Danio rerio: one gene and its partners. The protein of the gene in region 1 interacts with the protein of each later gene in a pairwise test. Links are inferred from orthologs where the notes say so. Each region holds a gene or a part of one and is shown on either strand. Other genes may lie near its edges. The genes, in order: bag4, unkl and alg13.

Evidence for each region.
Region 2: the proteins of bag4 (region 1) and unkl interact in binary tests that used the Homo sapiens proteins (3 or more experiments, as listed by UniProt). The link is inferred for Danio rerio from reciprocal best matches to the Homo sapiens genes BAG4 and UNKL.
Region 3: the proteins of bag4 (region 1) and alg13 interact in binary tests that used the Homo sapiens proteins (3 or more experiments, as listed by UniProt). The link is inferred for Danio rerio from reciprocal best matches to the Homo sapiens genes BAG4 and ALG13.

The regions. Positions count from the first base shown.
Region 1 is NC_133183.1:54,288,773-54,291,617, forward strand, and holds the end of bag4 (BAG family molecular chaperone regulator 4), read right to left. Parts: intron 1,546-2,845; coding exon 1,060-1,545; 3' UTR 611-1,059; downstream 1-610. UniProt on the Homo sapiens protein: Inhibits the chaperone activity of HSP70/HSC70 by promoting substrate release. Prevents constitutive TNFRSF1A signaling. Negative regulator of PRKN translocation to damaged mitochondria.
Region 2 is NC_133178.1:44,939,924-44,943,583, reverse strand, and holds part of unkl (putative E3 ubiquitin-protein ligase UNKL), read right to left. Parts: coding exon 3,590-3,660; intron 1,970-3,589; coding exon 1,852-1,969; intron 1,765-1,851; coding exon 1,680-1,764; intron 1-1,679. UniProt on the Homo sapiens protein: May participate in a protein complex showing an E3 ligase activity regulated by RAC1. Ubiquitination is directed towards itself and possibly other substrates, such as SMARCD2/BAF60b. Intrinsic E3 ligase activity has not been proven.
Region 3 is NC_133196.1:37,973,734-37,978,150, reverse strand, and holds the start of alg13 (putative bifunctional UDP-N-acetylglucosamine transferase and deubiquitinase ALG13), read left to right. Parts: upstream 1-1,544; 5' UTR 1,545-1,684; coding exon 1,685-1,804; intron 1,805-1,996; coding exon 1,997-2,080; intron 2,081-2,175; coding exon 2,176-2,226; intron 2,227-2,447; coding exon 2,448-2,494; intron 2,495-2,684; coding exon 2,685-2,757; intron 2,758-3,433; coding exon 3,434-3,515; intron 3,516-3,658; coding exon 3,659-3,821; intron 3,822-4,417. UniProt on the Homo sapiens protein: Catalytic subunit of the UDP-N-acetylglucosamine transferase complex that operates in the biosynthetic pathway of dolichol-linked oligosaccharides, the glycan precursors employed in protein asparagine (N)-glycosylation.

The DNA of each region.
Region 1 (2,845 bases):
TGCCCTGTTCACATATGCCAATCGAACCGCGCTAACTGGGCAAACGAGATACGTTCCGAAACAAAAGTGTAGGTGTGAAAGCACCCTTAGACTTTGAAAAACCCTGGATTAAGGTGTACATGTCTGTACAGCACTTCAATAATGTGGCATACTCCACGTCTTTGATTTCTCTTTAGTTCAATTATGACCTTAGTCGGATTAAATTGATGTGGTGTCCATGTAAACATACTAAATGATAGTGGTTCAACATGTTTTGGAGGGCTGAATCTCGCTATATTTTAGATGTAAGTTGCAGGCTGAAGGAAGGAAGAGGGCGGGCCAAGAGTTTGAGACCCCTGGTCTAGGCTGTGAGTTTTGAAGACAGACCATGAGTTGTATGTAATCGCATAAGATTTTGTCACAATCCAATCATTTCAACAGATCTGCAATTCTACCTCACACATATTTCAGAAGTTTTTCATGCAGATACACGCGTTTATTTCAATGTGAGGGTTGTTTTGTTCAACTACTAAAAGTGGAGAATAGACGTTTCTTGCTGCCAATATGATCACACCTTTCATGAAAAAGTTGACTGAATGAAGTAAAATGATGAATATGTGAAACTGAATTATGAGTTATTAAAAAATGACTGTCTTTATTAAGTTATAAAGTTATTTTACAATAATATCAAGAATGGATTGGTGTAATAGCAGTAATAAACTAAATTTCAAAAGTAAAATGAGTGGAGTCTTCATTCTTGAAGATGTGCAACAAAAAAACTCTGTTGTATCCCTTTAGTCTATGTAGACTCAATAAACCGAAAGGTGTTACACAAGGAAACCTCCGAGTAGATCACTGCTTCTTGTTGTTGAATGGCAAATGTCTGGTTTCGAGTATGGCACTGCAGTGACTGTATTTTGTGCCTGTATTACTAGAAAAAAAACATTACCACCATTTGGGCTACACAATCCAAAAACAACAAAAAATGTAATCCAACAAACTGGCAAAATGTGAACATCCTAATCTGCAATCATGAGGAAAGACCATAAAAAAAGAAATCATCATCAATCCACCCTGTTATTAGAACGCCTTTTTCTCAAGACATTCCAAGATGGCCTGGATCCTCCGAACAGCCTCTTTGCGAGCCTGTCTAACAACGTCCTGCCCGTAGGTCTCCACAGAGTCCAACTCAAGCAGCTCTTTTGTCAACAGTTCCTCCAGGCATCGGTAGCTCTTGTCTGTCTTTTTTCCCACAAACTCATCCACATCCTCTTGAAGAAGCTGAACTCGGGCCAAAATCTGCTGAACTCGAGCCAGGCTGGAATTATCTTTTAGTGGAGCTGGCATGGACGACGCTGGAGGGGAAGACATAGGAGGTTGTTCATTTTGGGCAGGTTTGGGTTCGAGTCCTCCAACGCCAGAGGAAGTCTTGTAGATTTGAGGTGGACTGCTGAACTGGGTGGGTTTGGGTGGAAGCGCAGATGAGTTTGGTGTGCTCACACGTGGTCTGGAGCCTGCAGGCTGGTTTTTAGGTTGCATATGAGGCTGACTTTGATATGGTGGATCCTAAAGGGGAGAGAGTAATTTCATAAATAAATTTTAGACAAACACCCCATTTTTTCTATTTTATTTTGCCATTGTTAGTGGTTGTTATAGTTTTAAATTATATGTATATAATTATATAAATAACCATTTATAGTGTTATATGTGTTAGTATTGTTATAATATTGTTAGTGGTTTTGTAAAAAAAATTTAGTCAATCAATCAAAAATAAAAAATAAAAAAATGTAATTCATCAGCCTAAAAGTGGACAAAGAATGTCAATGTCCTTAAAAAACAAACATATTATATATTAATATTTTCCACTTTAACTTAAGATCACAATAATATTACCAAATATTCATTAGTTTCCTGAATTGTAACCCTTTAAATACTAGTTTGTTAATAAAGTCACATGTTTTTGTGAGAAAAAGACAATTATTAATTATTTTCCATTTACTACATGCAACAATTTTTTTTCTTAGTTAATTACATTTTTGGATGTGTCAGTGATAAACAACACAATTCATTATTTATTTCATAAAAAAAAAAAAAAAAAAAACACTACTCGGGTACATTTCCAAAAACTATTGTTAGCCAACCAAGGTCGAAAGATCCAACATTACAATAATAGTTCATTTATTTGTTGTTTCCCAAATCTATCATTCCAATGAACATTCACAAACTACATCACAAACATGTGCATTTGAATTACACATCTGGAGCTGTAGTTAAAAACATAGTCCCTGGTTGTACTCTATTGTCAGTTATCCACCCTATGCCCTATTCTCTCTTTGAATGTCCCAACATTTAAACTTGAAATGATTTCAGAAAGAAAAACAGTCACCTCCTACACCTACACTCTCCTGTAAATGTAATTATTTTAAGTAATTTTTACAGTTCAGTTTTAGCAATCTTTATATCAACAATGGACCCTTCGCTAAGCCCCGCCCTCCTTAGTTATTGTTGCTACGCCTGTCAAGCTTTTGTGCCTGGCACAGCTTTTTCAATGTGTGTGCGCCGGTTTCAGACATTGCCAGGTATATAATGTCATTTTTGTCGAATAGGTGAGATATCCGAGAAAGCCAGACAAAAAAAGACTGCAGTATGCATTACGGGTATATTCACCACATAATAAGCAACCGGTTAGAGAATAAATCAATCAAAATTGAAGCTAGCTTAGCCTAACCGCCTCATATGCTAACCATTCAACAGCTTAGCTCATGCTCAGCAGGAGAGGTGACATTTAAAAATAATCTAATAATGACAAATCAAACCGTAATTTCTCTATTTTTAGCCAAAGAGCCTGATAGATTAATTGTTGTTC
Region 2 (3,660 bases), on another chromosome or scaffold:
GTTCATTGGGTTTTACTGTGCTCAAATTGCTTCATTTACTCAAATGGATTACGTTCACAGTACTCATTGGGGTTAGATTTTTAACTTATTTGATTTGCTGCAATCGGTTTCCTCAAATGGTTTGAGTCACTTTAACTTTTTTGGGTCTTACAGTGTAGAATTTTTGTTCTGTTTTTCGTCCAAATATCTACATTTTCAAAGTGAAAACCAGATTATTTATCTTAATTGTTACTTATTTATTCTGATGGTGAAAACAAAACAATTATTACTTGCACTAATCATTGTTTAAAATTTCAAATGGAAACAAGTTTCTGTAAATGCATACTGTTAGATGACCAAGAAAACTGTCAACTAGAGCTATTCAAATTATCTTGTAAAACAGTATTCATATCACAATATTTATCACAGAAAAACAAACTATTGCACTAGCAGATTTTTTCAATATCGTGCAGCCCTAGTGTTTATCGCTTCATTTCATTTCCAAACAATAGAACTGGTTTTAATGTTTGAGAAAAAGAAATTTGGAAACTTTTTATTCATTGTGTCTGTTCATTTACATGAAAACAAAGTGTGTGCATAGTACGTATTTATGAAGATGCACACATCGTTTTAAAGTGCTGTTCTTTACAAATGTGTGAAGATGGTTCGTGCATAGTATTCCTAGGTGGCTTTAACCTTTAGTGCGCACCCAAGTATGTTGGACATTTCTCATATTTCTGCTTACAGAAATGGACTCATGTTCTTTTGAAAATGTTAATTACATTAGTGGGAAACAGCATCATACTGTGAGCCAAGTCATTCAATCAGAAAGCATAGAAAACTGTGTCAAAAAATATAGCGCCTTCTCTCTGATTAATTCTTCAAGACGTCTGTTTTATTTGAATCAATCTCATAGCCACACATGAATAAAACGGAATTACAGTGCTTCAGGTATTGGACTACAACCAGGGCTCAACAATAAGTACTGCCCTTATGACCAGGAACCCTGTGACTATTTGTCAATTTCGTGCATTTTAAGTTTGTTTTTATAAATCTTTAAATGCTACCTTTTCTGTGATGTCGTAAACACCATATTGCTTTTTGGTTTCTCTCATCTGATTTGATGTTTTAAGCATGCATTTTTTTTCTGTAACCTGGTAACAACCATTATAGTGAAGTGAAGGCAACATGGCGGCAACATCAAATTATGAGGATAAAAGAAATGACTGTTTCTAACGTCTTGGAAGCAGACATTACCGTGGATACAACACAACAAAAAAAATTAAGTGATGTTTTGCACAATTTGCCGTCAATATGATAAGTGATTTTGTTAATTAATTTCGAACTGCAATAAAATACCTGCATATTTTCCATACTGCTCTATTTGTTTGCATAACACATTCAAATTTTGCTCATTAAACATTTATTAACATTTTTTAAATAACTTAAATTCTAGATTCACATTTTCTAGATTATTAAATTCACAAATTCTAGATTATTTTTTGACAGATTATTTAAAATATGTGGCAAAAATAGCTATTAACTTCTCTCTTTTTTTTGGTGGAGCCAGTGAAAATATTGCCAGGGCAAGTACAAATCTGAATCATTGGCCCGATCGCACCAGTAGAAAAAATCCTTAGCACTGAACCCTGACAACACACCAAAATATTGAAACCGATCATCATTGTGAACATGCTTACTTTCCACATGTGCAAAAGCACAGAACGGGCCCCTTGGACAGTATCCGGTTTGCCTCATGTCATTGCATTTAGTTGACTTGTAAATCTTAAAAGAGAGAAGGAAGTTATTGAGATTAAAAAGAAGAAGTCAGTCATTGAAGGAGAGTGTTGTACAGGTGTGTGTGAGCCTGACCTCTGGGTGGAACTGCTGTTCGGTGCGAGAGTGGCAGTACTGGCAGCTGTCTCCACTCTCACATTTGGAGGGTTCGCCCCATTCATCTCCATGCTTCACACTCGGGCAGGGCGTCGATCTGCCATCACATTTAACAGTGAATAAGTTTTGGGTTTTAAAAACTGATAAATCAAAAACATTTGTAAACATTTTTTCCTCATTTAGCCAAAAACTAAAATAGAAAATACATTTTTGACAATTACATTTTGGTAAAAGAGCCCTTTATGCTGCTATGGGTGTCATACTGACGAATGATAATCAAGTTTCTTCAGCCTTAAAATATTCTAGTTACGCTATTTTACTTATCTTGTTGCCTATATATTTTTTGGTCACAATGAAAAATGATGCTACAGTTGCTATGTACTCTATCATGGAGTAAACCCAAAATATCCATGTTAGTACGTAAATAAGGCAGGAGATTTCAATCTTTTAGATGCTACAGAGCCCATCTATGTAGAATTATATAGCTTTTTAAATATAGAAGCTATTAACACTGTGAAAAAAATATTATTTAAACAATTATTTGAACATAATACCTTTATTATGTTAATTTAATGTTATTTCTAACATAATAACATTAAATGAATATTTGGTTCCATTAGATTGTTACGTTTGTTTTAGTTAAACAGACAGTTTAGAAAGAAAAAAGAAACTTGACTCACTATTAACTCAACCTCAAGTAGTTCCAAACCTTTCTTCTGTTGAACAAAAAGAAAAATTTTAAAAGAAAGCTAGAAAACTGTAACCGTTGACTGCCATAGTATTTGTTTTCCTATTATGAAAGTCAATGGTTACAGGTTTTCAGCTTTCTCCATAATATCTTCTTAAGTGTTCAACAGAAAAAAAGAAACTCGAAGGTTTGGATCCATTTGAGGGTGAGTAAATCATAAATTTTGGGGTGACCCTTTAACATAACACAATATTAACAAATTTTAACAATTTTCTTTTTTTTTTTTTTATTTGTGCAGAAAATTAAGCCACTGAAGAAAGTGCTGATTCAATAATGTCAGCATCCTTTAAAAAATTGTTGGTCAGTGAAAAAAGCATGCATATTTTAACAGAAAAAAAAACTGACATCAAATTATTCAAGTTTTTACAAATAATTCAATACAAAAGGTGCACATTACTGCATTACAATCAAATATAAGTACAGGAGCTACAAAAAGAGCAAATAATGTCAAGTAGTGTCACTTCCACCTCAAAATAGACCCTTTTCACATTTCCGAGTTTCTCAGCAGCGGAAGTCTTCATAGTTGGCAAAACTTAGAGCGCAGTGAATGGGAGAGTAGAGCAAGTCCTTTTTTTGCAATCTTATTTGCTTAAATAATAAAAGAAAAACTCTGTGATGATGTCATAAAGACTTTCAGAAAAAGGTAAAAAAAAATTGTGATGATGGCAGCCATAAGAAATAATAACGTCAAATTTACTGTCCAGTCCCATAGACGCTGCATTAGAAACGTCTCGCACAAGCGGTAATTAGTTTTTTGTCATTTGATGATATAGATGATATCATGCAAAGATGATATAATGCATATGTGAATACATATAAATGTTCATACGTTTTAAGAAAAAATCTAAATTTAAATTTTTTTAAGGATTTAACATGCTGATGACTGTAAATGCGTAATAACATGCTTGTGAAAAGAGTCCATATTTTGACTACTGTTTTATTTAAAAATCTATTTCCATTCCTTCTCACCTGTATTTGAACTTTCTGGGATTTCTTCTTCTATCTCTGCTGTTGTGATAGTGGGGACAAGCATAGCCCTG
Region 3 (4,417 bases), on another chromosome or scaffold:
TGTGTGTGTGTGTGTGTGTGTGTGTGTGTGTGTGTGTGTGTGTGTGTGTGTGTGTGTGTGTGTGTGTGTGTGTGTGTGTGTGTGTGCGTGTGTGTGAATTCTAAACAATTTCTTCCAATGATTACCTGATGATTGCATCACATAAAAAAGTCAGACAGTGTAGGTTATTCAAAGCTGACCACAGAGCTGCATTACAAATACACAAATGAATAGAAGATCTATTATAAGAGACAAATGCAATCTGTTTCTTACTCAAGGCTGTTTTGTGTACTCGCAGCTTACATACAAAACAATTAACCCAAGTCCACTCAAGATGTCTTCATGTCTTCATGACCTTTGACCTGGCTTGGTAGATCCTGTGGAAGCGAATAATTTGGCATACAGAAAAAGCAAACACACATATTATTAAAGATTTACTCTGAAGAGGGATCAAACTAAGGTCATAATATCATATAGAGCCTTAAACATTCAACTTTATTAATCATAATCATAAATCATTATCATAAAGACACAAGAAATTATAGGGGAGTGCAGGATACAATGTAACAACTCCTTAAGTTATTTGCTCATGGTTAACCATGGCATGCTTCCGAGGTTTTCACCACAGTATTGGCAGACATCTTCCAGCCAATTATTGAAAAAGTTTGGCAGGAAAAACCAATTTGCAGTTTTGCAGCATAAAAGTGTTTTCTTTTATACTTAATATATTTTTTATTTTTAAAAGATCTGTGAAAGTATGTATGTAAAATCTTACATTGTTTTGATTACCGTCTTCTAGGCTAAAACATGAAACCATTTTAAAAGATGTAAAAAAAAAAACAGTGACTGCTAGCCATTTTTTAGGAAAACACGACACAGGGGGATTATTTGTATAACAAATAAGCTACACGTACACCCCTGATTAATAAAGGGACTAAGCCGAAAATGAATGAATGAATGTATGAATGAATGAATAAATGAAAAAGCAAACACACACATATTATTCCTGTTTTACTCTCAAGGGGGATGGTAATATTAATCTAGGCCCTGAAACATTTAGCTTTATCAATAATCATAAAGACATAGGAAATTATATGTGTTACTCCATCCTAGAGTGGAAATTCATCAGAAAACCCACACCTTTAATAGACAGACAGACAGACAGAAAGACAGATTGACTGACAGATAGATAGATAGATAGATAGATAGATAGATAGATAGATAGATAGATAGATAGATAGATAGATAGATAGATAGATAGATAGATAGATAGATAGATAGATAGATAGATAGATAGATAGATATATAGATTTTAGTTTTTTTAAGCAAAGAGCTAAATATGTTAGAAGATATGTCTCTAAGTCATGTGTTCTAAATGGTTGTAGCTTTAAGGCTCAATGGGGAGTTAGAATCAAATAGTCGTCTTACAAACCATAAGAGTAATTTTAAAGTGTCACTATACGTGGAACTCTAACTTAAACATCTTAAGTAGCTAGTGTTGTCATGGAAACTGCAATATGTCCTGTATGTTCCTGCATAAAGTGGCGCCAAAAGAGCAATGCAGTACAATCAGAGGTCATTTGTTGCACCTGTTGCATTTTCAAGCCCGAAAGGAAACTTTCGACCTTCACAGTTTTTTTCGCTTTTAGACGGAAAGCCGTGAAGCTCTGTATATGCGTTGTTTTTTATTTATCATTTCTTGAGGATGCAAAAAGCCTTGAAGAAGTATTTTGTAAGCATGGACGAGTACCTGGCCAGCATTGGACTATACCGAAAAATGATGGCGAGAGATGCGTCTTGTCTTTTTCGAGCTGTTTCTGAGCAGGTAATTTGAAAATAAATATTCCTCAAAATGTGACCAAATCTCGAAATTGTTGTGTCATATTCCGAAGTTTCTTGACAATGGTGTATGACAAATTTTGTGAGTTTGACGAAACGTGTAACTTACGACAATCTTAATGAACCACCTGTATCGTTTTGACCGTGCTACTGAACTGGCGTTTAAATTTGTTTTAAGCTTTATTACTCTCAGAATTACCATCAAAGAATACGAAAGGAGTGTGTCAACTTCATAAGGGCGAACAGATGCAACTTTGAACCTGTAAGTACATTCAAACTGATTTTTTTTTAGAGACTGCACAAACTTTTAACTGTATGTAAACGCTCATAACCCTGTGGTATTACCGTGTTTTTCAGTTTGTTGAAGGATCTTTTGAGAAGTATTTAGAACGCTTGGAAGATCCCAAGGTTTGTATTCAGGGAATTTTCTTGTTGTTTTCACTTAAATGTTAACAGTATGTCTTATTGTTGGTAAATGGTTAAAATGTTTATTACAACCAGAATAAAAGCCAATGATCAAAGATGTAAACAGTCAGTTTTTAAAACAATATTTTTTGTAAATTCTACGAAAGGTGTTTAAGGCTTAAGTGTTAAGGTCTTACTGTGGTGTAATATCTCAAATTTCATAGGAAACCGTAGGTCAAGTGATAATAAAGGCACTGTCTTTACTGTACAGGTATGGTTTACATCTCTTCCCCACATTTTGCTAAAATAGTTTATTCTACAAGTAAATTTTTTATCTTCTCTAACTTTTGCTTTATTTTTTGCAATACATCTGAGCTATTTAAATGTAAATTTAAAATGTAATTGCATTAAAAGAATGTTATTTTGGGTCCACATTCTCATGTGGTTGGTTTTCGGCGCAGGCGGTGCTTTGTCATTTACAGGTATCCAGGTAAGCCACCAACTGAGATTGCAGAGGAAGACAATTTGCCTAAGGTAAGCAATTATAAAACGCCCTCTGTTTTCGTTCAGAGTTTTGCATTTATTCCCACTATTCTGGCTAAAAGCTGAAACTACAGTTTCAGTGTCACTGAAATTACTCTTTAGGGGTCTCATGGTCTTTCAATTCAATTCAGCTTTATTGGCATGCTTTTTCAAATATAACACAATGTGGCCAAAGCTTTAACATTTTATTTATTTATTCATTCATTTTCCTTCGGCTTAGTACCTTTATCCGCCACAGCGGAATGAACCGCCAGCATATGTTTTACACAGCGAATGCCCTTTCAGCTGCATCCTAGCACTGGGAAACATCCATACACTCTCATTCACACACATACACTATGGCCAAAACAGTTTATTCAATTCACCTATACCACATGTCTTTGGACTGTGGGGGATCCGGAGCACCCGAAGAAAACCCTCGCAAACACTGGGAGAAAATGTAAACTACACAGAAATGCCAACTAACCCTGCCGGGACTCGAACCAGTGACCTTCCTGCTGTGAGGCGATTATGCTAACCACTGAGCTACTGTTCTGCCACGCATGCATTTTATTTATCTATTTATTGCTTATACATTACTTGATTACTGGTAATTGTCTATAGCATGCGTTATTGTTTTAAACTTATGTATGGTTTTACATTCATCATTATTCATTAAATCCAACAGATTTTACTGTGTTGCTCAAACAATGGCCACTATGACATTGTTTACCCAAAGAGCTATCCAGTAGATGCTGCAGTATGTCAGGGTAAGTTAGCAGTTCATCATATCTCAGTTATAATATCTCTTGTGTGATCACTTTCTGAATAGTTCCTAACTAGAAAGATTTTGCTATTGATTTTTTTATATTTGATTGATACATTTTAGTACTAGTATTTTCATTTCTTTCAGCCTTGCTGTATGAACTGTTGTACACTCGTGTTCTGGGAGTTGAGGAGGATGAAATACAGGCAGCACTGGAGGGATTCAAAGGAGGGGGACGACGATACCGAAACAGCCATTCTATGTGCAGCGAAGACGCAAGTTATGATACCCCAGAAGATCGTTCTCAGAGGTCTTCCCTCATTTACTTGTCTTTTTAGCACTATTCAGTTTTCATTTTCAATTTTACTGTGACTGCTCCAGTACCTATTCACTTACCATTCATTTTACAGAAAACAGCAGCTTAGACAATTTGCCTAATATTATAAAATTTTTTTTTTTTTGATCAAAACATTTTCAGAAGTAGCCTATACAACTTGTATGATTTATATTACATGGAATATAATACTTTGTAAAGAAATTACATTTTTTAAAACCAAAATAATTGCTTATAAAAATATAAATCTATTGTATCAAAATAATTGCATCTTTAAATATTACAGACCACGAAACTGTGAACGGCGATTGGTTTTTTTTTTTTTTTTTTTTTTCAAAAGAGCAGCTACTGTATTAGTAGCTTGTAGTTAAATTTACGGGTAGTGAAAAGTATCTTCTCCAACACTGCTGCTGTCCATGAACAAACCACAATAGTAATATGTTTGGTCAAAATTGAGTTTGAGAAGGGCTAAAATGGACTTTTTGACATCCGTCTTGTGACTAAGTCTCTTCAATTTTGTCCCATTTGAGAGAAACCAAACCATTAATCACATGTTAGAATAGCTGGTGTAA